2 linked regions of the Rattus norvegicus genome follow. Each later gene encodes a partner of the first gene's protein in a complex. Links are inferred from orthologs where the notes say so. Each region holds a gene or a part of one and is shown in the gene's direction. Other genes may lie near its edges.

What was found.
Region 2: the proteins of Tapbpl (region 1) and Mr1 are in contact, whole or in part, in an NMR structure (PDB 7RNO), measured with the Homo sapiens proteins. The link is inferred for Rattus norvegicus from reciprocal best matches to the Homo sapiens genes TAPBPL and MR1. Residues at the interface, in NP_060479.3 of Homo sapiens: His47, Arg48, Gly49, Ala50, Ala52, Ser53, Ser54, Leu129, Met131, Thr132, Glu133, Thr135, Arg228, Gln230, Lys232, Gly233, Arg234, Gly235, Thr280, Ile282, Gln293, Ile295, Gln297, Arg307, Leu308, Ser309, Ile320, Cys321, Asp322, Leu355; in NP_001372090.1 of Homo sapiens: Arg101, Arg104, His105, Asn107, Thr129, Gly130, Phe131, Leu132, Gln133, Ile143, Phe144, Asn145, Asp147, Thr148, Leu152, Ala153, Val154, His159, Thr160, Lys162, Gln163, Ala164, Ala167, Asn168, Gln169, His170, Thr213, Phe214, Pro215, Asp248.

Annotation. Positions count from the first base shown.
Region 1 is NC_086022.1:159,711,952-159,716,817, reverse strand, and holds the start of Tapbpl (tapasin-related protein precursor), read left to right. Parts: upstream 1-1,680; 5' UTR 1,681-2,012; coding exon 2,013-2,076; intron 2,077-2,778; coding exon 2,779-3,009; intron 3,010-3,140; coding exon 3,141-3,413; intron 3,414-4,866. UniProt on the Homo sapiens protein: Component of the antigen processing and presentation pathway, which binds to MHC class I coupled with beta2-microglobulin/B2M. Association between TAPBPR and MHC class I occurs in the absence of a functional peptide-loading complex (PLC).
Region 2 is NC_086031.1:69,865,176-69,870,216, reverse strand, and holds the start of Mr1 (major histocompatibility complex class I-related gene protein precursor), read left to right. Parts: upstream 1-2,050; coding exon 2,051-2,105; intron 2,106-5,041. UniProt on the Homo sapiens protein: Antigen-presenting molecule specialized in displaying microbial pyrimidine-based metabolites to alpha-beta T cell receptors (TCR) on innate-type mucosal-associated invariant T (MAIT) cells.

The DNA of each region.
Region 1 (4,866 bases):
CCTACAAAATTAGGGGGAAAACAAGAGGAGGAAGGAGGAGGAGAAAAAGAAGGGTGACAGGGAGCTGGGAAGAAGGCATGAACCGTGAATGCTAGCTTCAAACACCCACTCCTGCATATGAAACAAATGAGCCCTCAGGGTGGCCCTGTGAGCTTGTAATTCAAGGGGTTAGGTGGCAAGGGCGGCGCTTGGAGTGGAGACAACAGGAGAGCACTGTACTTGTTGGCCACCAAACAACTCCAGGTTCAGAGAGAATAAGGCGGTTCAGGTTCTGAAGAATAAGGCGGAGTAATAGAACAAGACACCATTGCCCTCACTGAGTCTCCTCCACACACGAGCACGGCTGGGCATACTCACCCCACACATGTGTATACCACATACACATGAACACTCACCCCACACATGTGTATACCACATACACAGGAACACTCATCCCCACACATGTGTATACCACATACACACGAACACTCACCCCCACACATGTGTATACCACATACACACGAACACTCACCCCACACATGTGTATACCACATACACAGGAACACTCACCCCTACACATGTGTATACCACATACACACGAACACTCACCCCCACACATGTGTATACCACATACACAGGAACACTCACCCCTACACATGTGTATACCACATACACAGGAACACTCACCCCCACACATGTGTATACCACATACACAGGAACACTCACCCCCACACATGTGTATACCACATACACAGGAACACTCACCCCACACATGTGTATACCACATACACAGGAACACTCATCTCCACACATGTGTATACCACATACACAGGAACACTCACCCCACACATGTGTATACCACATACACACGAACACTCACCCCACACATGTGTATACCACATACACACGAACACTCACCCCCACACATGTGTATACCACATACACAGGAACACTCACCCCTACAGATGTGTATACCACATACACAGGGACACTCACCCCTACACATGTGTATACCACATACACACGAACACTCACCCCACACATGTGTATACCACATACACAGGAACACTCATCCCCACACATGTGTATACCACATACACAGGAACACTCACCCCCACACATGTGTATACCACATACACAGGAACACTCACCCCTACAGATGTGTATACCACATACACAGGGACACTCACCCCTACACATGTGTATACCACATACACACGAACACTCACCCCCACACATGTGTATACCACATACACAGGAACACTCACCCCCACACATGTGTATACCACATACACAGGAACACTCACCCCACACATGTGTATACCACATACACAGGGACACTCACCCCACACATGTGTATACCACATACACAGGGACACTCACCCCACACATGTGTATACCACATACACAGGAACACTCACCCCACACATGTGTATACCACATACACAGGAACACTCACCCCACACATGTGTATACCACATACACAGGAACACTCATCCCCACACATGTGTATACCACATACACACGAATACAATTAAAGGGAGGCTTACACTGTAGCTTCACATCCAGCCTCCAATCCCACAACCAGGCCACGCCCCATCTCCTCCATGGGATTAAGGATCTGAGCAGGGAGTTGTCACCAGGGCAGACCAAAAGGATCTCGCAAAAACTGAAAAGAAGGGCCAAGATAGATCACAGGGGAATCTATCTTCTGGCTCCACCCTCTCTCCAGCCTTCTCATAGTTGGGGCTGATGGGAAACCTGATGTGGTGATACCAGCTTTTGAAACCTTCTGGGGATTTCTTGGGTGCAGGGTGGACAAAAGGGAGTACCGGGAGCAGAGTTCTGGCTACTGCTGTTTCTGGCCTCGGGTCACAGAGGCAGTTGAAGTGAAAGCGAAAGAGAAACCAGTAAGAACAGAGAACACAGGTACTAAGTGAGGCTGCTCAAAGAACCCCCTCTTCAGCCAGAGATCTCTAGCAGGGGAACTGTGGAGAAGGCAGCCAGCGAGGAATCGCCCGAGAGCAGCCTCCATGGGCTGGGAGCCCAGCTGGTGTCTGCTGCTCTGTTTGGCTGTCTCTGGGGCGGCAGGGACTGGTGAGTAAGGAGACCTGGCTGGGGCCTGGGGGAGGGGAGAGGAAGCTCTGAGCTAAAGAAGCCCCAGGAAGTCACCTACTCAGAACGGCAAGTTTGCCTACTAAGCCTCGCAAATGAGTGTGGCACTCGAAATGTGAGGAACCAATTTGGAGAGGGGTATGACAGAGAACTCACAGAAAAGAGGCTTCCTTTGTGGAAAGGCAGGGTGCTACCATTCTGGGAGAGAGCTCACTGCCTTGAGTTGAACCCTTAGAAGAGGAAGGGGCTCCCCAGGCTAAGAAATCACTTGGGAGGTAACTCCTGGTGGGCGTGGCCATGGCGGAAAGCAGAGGCCTCTGGGAAGGTTGGGTAGTGAGAAAATGGTTGTCAGTGTTCCTAGGAACAATAAGTGCTCCAGTTTCTCTCTCCCCTTTTTTAAACCTGAGAATTTCTTTCAAGAAATTTCCTTGCATTCCCACAGTTGAAGTCCAGGAATATAAAATCATAAATCTCTCTGGCTTTGAGCAGGACAGATCTAGAACTTGAAACAACTCAGAGTCGCAGTCTGAGTAGCAGGTGCCTCTCCAGAAGCTCGGTTTGTAGATGATAATGACACCAAGACGGCGGGACCCAGAAGGCAACCTTACCTGATGATCAGCCTGCGTTTGGTAAAGGGGTAGGAAGCAAGTGTGGAAGAGGGTGCTTGTTTCACTTTCCCTGTAGACCCCCCGACAGAAGAAAGACGGTGGCAGGCCGTGGACATCGTCTTAGACTGCTTCTTGGTGACAGAAGACAAGCATCGCGGGGCTTTTGGCAGCAGTGAGGACAGGGAGAAGGCCCTGCTTGTACTGAAGCAGGTGCCGGTGCTGGATGATGGTTCCCTGGAGGGCTTCACAGATTTCCAAGGGAGCGCAGAGGCCAGACAAGATTCACCGATTATCTTTGAGGCGTCCGGTAAAAGCCCCTCATCCTAGGCTTCCTCCATAGGGACAACCCAGCTCCCAGTCCTATCTACCCACACCTGCCTCCCCACTGCCTGGCGTTGTGTATCCAACATCACCTCCATGCGCTGTCTTTCTCCGCAGTGGACTTGGTACAGATTCCCCAGGCAGAGGCTTTGCTCCACGCTGACTGCAGCGGGAAGGCGGTGACCTGTGAGATCGCCCAGTATTTCCTCCAGGCCAGACAAGAGGCCACTTTTGAGAAAGCAGATTGGTTCATCAGCAACATGCAGGTTTCTAGAGGGGGGCCCAGTGTCTCCATAGTGATGAAGACTCTAAGAGATGATGAAGCTGGAGCTGTCCGGCACCCTTCGCTGAACATACCCCTGAGCCCCCAGGGCACAGTGAAGACTAAAGGTGAGAAAACGAAATGCACTGGCACAAGGAAGAGTTCTTAGGAAGATTTTTTTTATTAGTGTGTGTGTGTGTGTGTGTGTGTGTGTGTGTGTGTGTGTGTGTGTGCGCGTGCGGAGGTAGAGATCGGAGGACAATTTGTAGGATCTGCCATGTGGGTTCCAAGGATTGAAGTAGTTCACGAGGCTGGGCAGCAAGCACCTTTACCCACTGTGCCATTTCAGTAGCTCCAAGAGTTGTCTTTTGGTTTGGTTTTTTGTTTGTTTTTTGATTTTGCTTTGTTTTGTGTTGAGAGACAGGATAGAAGGAAGAAAAACAAATATCACGTAGGTCCTCCTGAGGTCCCCTAATAGACCTTCATCTTTTCTAAAATATCCCGAGTCAGGAAGAGGGCATGCTGAGATCCTTACTGGAGCAAGGGTCAAAACTTAACAACCATCAAAATGGAGATGACTTTTATCTCACTGTGCTGTCGTGGGGAAGGACACATGAGGACACTGTGTCTACTACGCACGTTGTCACTGCACTCTTATTTAGCCAAACCCTGTCTCCTCCCAGGGAAAGGGAGGCGGTTTCAGCAGAGCACAGGGAGACAGGTGTGCTCAGTACCGCTTGCTATGAGTCCCAGTCCTCATCCCTCTCCCACTTAGTGCCTCCTGCCAGGTTCAAGAGAGAGAACACGATGACAGGCATCTGGAGAGTCCAGTTCGATATTTTACCTCTGAAAAGGAGAAACAGGTCCACAGAAGATGAAGATGGGGGTGCTCCTCTCCTATCCCTGCAAACCCCTAAAACATTAGCCTTTAGTATTATTTTGTCCCATACTGAGGATTGAACCTAGAGCCTTGTGCTAAACACGTGCTCTACCGCTGAACTACAGCTACAACTCCTTTTTTATTGTGAAGTTTTATTGTGAGGCAGGGGTCTCATCCATGTGCTTAGGCAGGCCTGGAACTTGTGGTCCTGTCATGCCTCCTTGGTAACTGATGGTACAGGCATACACTACCACACCCACCAGCTCTGAGGCCCTTTCTAAATGTGCCTTGCCATTTGTGTCAGAAAAGATTTCCAGGGTCTCTGTCCTAGGCCATAGATGGCTTAGTGCTGCTCCCTTTTTGAGTTTATTCAAATCTACAAATAAAACACATGCATCCACACAGCCTTGACTTATTCCTGACCTAGTTTAACAATGGTCACAGTTCCTCTCTGCCTCCACTAAAATAGATATTCTCCCCTGAACTGACTAGGCTGTAGGAGCCACAATATTTCACCCCCAAATGCTCCCATGTGCAGTTATAGCTGATAGCTGAAAGTCAAGGCCATTCTGCTTCACAATCACCAATGACCTGAGAAGCATATCGAGGCAGGGAGCGCTCTAGTCACAGTAACAAGGGGGTCCAGTGCATATAGAACTGAGTAGTGTTCTATTCATGGGAAGAATTGACTAGTAAGGCTG
Region 2 (5,041 bases), on another chromosome or scaffold:
AGAGAGAGAGAGAACCTCACATGCATATACCTACAGGCATATCCACAACAAAATCACCAAAGAAACATATACTAAAATATGTCAGGAATGGTGTTAGCTGCCTTCCCAGCCTTCACTAATTTGCAATTAGATAAAGTAATTTTAAGCTATGTACTCTTTTCATGCTTCCCTTTTTTTTTTTTTTTTCTTCTTTTTCAGAGCTGGGGACCAAACCCAGGGCCTTGCGCTCGCTAGGCAAGCGCTCTACCACTGAGCTAAATCCCCAACCCCTTCATGCTTCCTTTTTAACAACAGTACAGTATGCATTTGGGGGGACAAGCTATTAACAGAAAAAAAAACCAAAGGGAAAATAAATTGGTGTGGAAGGCAAGCATCATTGAGCAGTAACAGGGGTGTCTGGGAGGGGCACACGGGTGCCTGTATTTGCTAGATGAATAACCAAGGGAATAAAGCAAAAGAGGAAGGAAAGGGAAACAGATACAAGCCTCTGAGGAGTGGTCATCAGGTAACTTCTTTGAGTCTTTGTGGGGAAAGGAAGACATGCCTAAAAGTTGTCCATTCTCATAAAAATTAGGTGGCTGCAAGCAATATACATTTCCTCTCCAATAATTTAGGAGGCGGAAGTTCTGAAGACAGGCCTTATGTGGGAAAAACAAAGCAAAACAAAACAAAAACCACCAACAACAAAACAAAACATCAACAACAAAACAACAACAACAACAACAAAAACCAAACAAGTTTTGATACATGCATTCTTTCTAGAGGTTCTGGGGTAGGGCCTGTAACCTTCTCATTCCAGGGTCGGGAGCCACCCACACTCCTTGGCTCACCCCCATTTCAGCAATGCATCTGCTCTCACAGTTCCTTCTCAGATTCTGACCCTCTGCCTTCCTGTAATGGGGACCCTCGTGGTTATATTGGTTCTGGCAGATGGTCCAGGATCATCTCTCCATCTCTCCGTCTTTAAACCAACAGAACCTGCAAAGTCTCTTCTGTCATAGAAAGTGTGCTGTAGTTACAGGCTCTGAGCTTCCGAGTGGGCCATCACTCCCCTCACCACTGAAGAAAAACAGGATGTTTGATTCTCCTAGCCCCTCTTTGTGCATAAACAACCTCACCGAGTCTTTCAACAGTCCTGTGGAATAAATACATGGTAGATTTCTTTTCAAGTGGAAGATGCCCGACCATGGTAGAGATTCTGCCCCGTGTCAAAGAGCTGGGATCAAACCTCGGTCCCTGAACCCCAGCCAAAGGATGCTTGCCTGCCTCCCTGCCTTGTCTTCATTCTTCTCTCTATTCGGCTGTACTTCCTCTTTCCTGTTTAAACCTGTTCCCTAGCTCCCTGAACAGCCTTAGCTGCTGTTTCCTAACTCGTCATGTGCTTCTAACAACAATGTGACCATAGCTTGCTCTTGGAGATTGCTTTCCTTGAAAGATGAGTGGTAACCCTTCAGCATCTCCCACAGGACTTTTCTTCTCCCTATTCAGTGGGGATGTTTGGGACCTATTGTTCTAGGTAAACAAAAGTACAGGGAAGACAGACATAAGTAAAATATTACAGGACAATCTAAATGGTACGTGCTATCCGAGACGGATGGATGGGAAAATCATACTGAGCGGGGAGTTCCAAATCTTGGAACTCGGTGCGATTTTCTTTGTCCCTTAGTTAAAAATCTAAACTCCAAGAAAGAACCAAAGGCAATAAATTATCTGTGTTATTAATCTTTGCTTCCCTATACCTTTCAAGTAATTGAGCAACAGTTGGGAACTGGGTGGAAAGAAGCAAGCCGTGCCTGAAACCAACAAGGAGTTAAAGTTTATTGCTTTCATTTTGTAGGTCTCTATTCTCCCTAGCAACTAGTGACACAAGATATTTTTCCCAGTTCTTATTGGAGAATGCGTCCCCGCCCCGCCCTCATTGCTCAGTTACCAAATTTTCTAGTAAACCGGTAGAGTGAGTACAGGTTCTCACAAAAGATTCATCAGGGGCCTGTCACTATCTGAAGTTTAAAAAAAAAAAATGGGAAGAAAAGGACTTCAGTGGGGGTTGATGATGTTCCTGCTACCGTTCCTCACAGTATTTTTGGCGAAGCAAAGCCATACCCGTAAGTATCCCATGTACTCTTTGCTTCCAAGTGCATCGAGGGGTTCGCTTCCTAAACTTGTGGTGCAAGCTATGAAAAAGCCAGGGGCAAATCCACAGGTCCTTTGGACCCAAGATTTGAAGGGTGATGTACCAGTTGGCCTGCTGCCCAGACGTGTGTGCATGGATGCTAGCCTGTCCAGAAAGACTTCCCCCTGAGAGCTGTCTCCCCACTCTTCTGCTATACCCTTACTTTTCCTTCTGTTTCTCCTCTTTTCTAACAATGAGCCTTATACTAGGGACTGTAGTGAGTTTCAGGGGAGTTGAACAGTGCAGTCTGTCCATTCTTCAGGTCCATAGATATTTTTCCCTCCTCAGGACAAGGACTACCTGTAACAAAAGACGCAAGAAAGATAAAGCCACGCCTCCGAGCTTGTTTTCTAGGTGTAGGAAATATTCATTGATTAAAAACAAAAGTTCTGGGACTGGAGAGATGGCTCAGCGGTTAAGAGCTCTGGCTGTTCTTCCAGAGGTCACCCACATGGCAGTTCGCAACTGTCTGCAACTCCAATTCCAGGGGATCCTGCATCCTAACATAGACACACATGCAGTCAAAACACCAAAGTACGTAAAAATAAATAATAATTAAAATAAACAAACATTTTTTAAAAATCCTCCAAGTTCATTGTAGTTTAGGGAGCTTGTGTCTCTAGGGAATCCGGAGCCCTGTGTTGCCACAAACACAGGAGAGTCGGTGTGACACAAAGTACCAGACTTCGCTACTTCTCTAAGCAACTGCTGGCAAGCCGTTAGTGCTTCTAAACGTTAGTGGGTCTCTAGGTTCACAGAAGAATTACAGAACTTAGACCAGGCCGCCCAAGCTGCTGACTAATGCTCATGCCAGGAAGGAACTCTTTCAAATCGTCTGTGTGTTAATCCTACAAGTATTGATTGATAGCTTGCTACGTGCCAGCTGACTGGAGGAATATAACAACTGGATATGGATATGGTGATGCAAACTTACAATCCTAGCTACTCTAAAGGGGGGAGGGGATGGTGAGTTTGAGGCCAGTTTGAGTGGCATGAGAGCCTGCTTCAAAAAAGAAAAAAAGAAAAGAAAAAGAAACAAAGAAACCAACAAACAAAGATGAGGTTAGATGTTTCTTTGGCTTAAGGAGATTGCAGAACCTTCTGGCATAGTGATCAAAAGTGCAACATTTCTGCCTTTAGTCCAGTTGTTTCTGTGATACCTACCACTGGACTTCTGAGTACCCTGTATGTAGATAATTTGTGGGCTGTTATAGAGTGGGGTGCTGCTCTTTGCTGGTTGTTTTCCTCTGACCCCTCAGACGTGTTCCTGCTGTGTTGCTTTGTGTTCCGGAGGCGGATAGCTACAGACCGCATCACCCAGTCCTAGCTTCTGTCCTGGTTCACTTGGTAGGAAATGCTGGGAGAAGAGACAAGAACATGGAGAAAGGAGAGACTGAAGTTTGCTTTTCTTGCCCCCTCCTTCTTTCAAGGAGTCTCTGGCAGTAGCTCTCTGTAGTTCTCTGCAATGTGGGTTGTTTTCCCTTTTCTCTGAAAATCCCTTTTCTTTATAGTTTTAGCTTCCGCTGGGCTTCAGTAATTCTTATTTGCTGTCCGTTTCCCTCTAATCTTAGGGGTGAGCATGGTTTATTATTGTTGCTTCCTTATGGTCTCTCCATGGGACCTCTCTGGTAAAGGCTGTTTCCTCCCATGGTTCTCACTAAATGAACTTTGAGGGCAATGGCAGGGAAGGGATTTCAGATTTACAGAAAATAACTTAAGGTCTACATGATATTTGTGCCCAGTGTTACCCATAAACAGATACTTTTACACCATGGATGGATGGGGGACACAGGGAAGAGAAGCCAGAGCGTTTGAGAGGTAGCTCCAGGAAATGTTAAGATAATTCTCACATTACATCCAGCAGGTTCCTCACAGCAGCAGCAGCAGCAGCGTGGCTCACAGGTGATTGCGTCTGCTCCTTCCTTTGAGTTCCCATAGCTCCTCTTCACGGTTTTCTCAGTTCCTCAAATCTTCCCCTAGCTGCTCTTTTTACAGGTGGGAAGAGACGACTCCATTTTTGTGACCTCGTTTCCAACAGACACTTGATCGCTTCCTAAAAACATGATGTTTCAAAGTAATGTCCCTAAGACATTGAAGTCACCTGATTATGAAGTATAACACACTTGGACAATGACAATGAATTCAAATGTAAAACTGTGTAGTTGCAGAACTGATGTAAAAATTGGTGCTTTGTGCTTTTACCGTCCTTCTCCTTGCTCTTCATTTCAGCTGGTGTGAAAATGAGGTGGTGATATGTGTCTCGGTGATCAATATGGGACACCAGGCATGAGATTTCCCTTGCAAAGCTATATATAGTTCGTGTGTTTCATCTTGATATAATCAAAGTTAGTCTCTTGATGGCATTCATAATTTAATAGAGGAGTTAGCCCACTACATCAATCTACTTCATGAATGATGCTTCAGAGACAAGGACTGATTCCATAATCAGTTGTGTTAGTGTTAGAAGATATCCTTGTAGGCTATCTGCTTAGAAATGACCTTGACCTGGGTAGTGGTGGTGCATGCCTTTAATCCCAGCACTTGGGAGCCAGAGGCAGGTGAATATCTGAGTTTGATGCCAGCCTGGTGTACAGAGTGAGTTCCAGGACATCCAGAGCTGCACAGCGAAACCTTGTCTCAAACAAAACAAAACAAAACAAAACAAAACAAAACAAACAAACAAACAAAAAAACCCAAAGAGGAGGGGGGAGGGAGAGGCAGGAGAAAGCAGGGAAGGGGGAGGGGAAGGGAGATGGGGAGGAAGAGGGAGAGAGAACCTTAAGTTCAAATAGCTGGCATGAGAAAATATGGGCAATTAGATTTCAGTCTGTTTCCAAGGTGCTCCTACCCAGGTTCATGCCAGAGAAA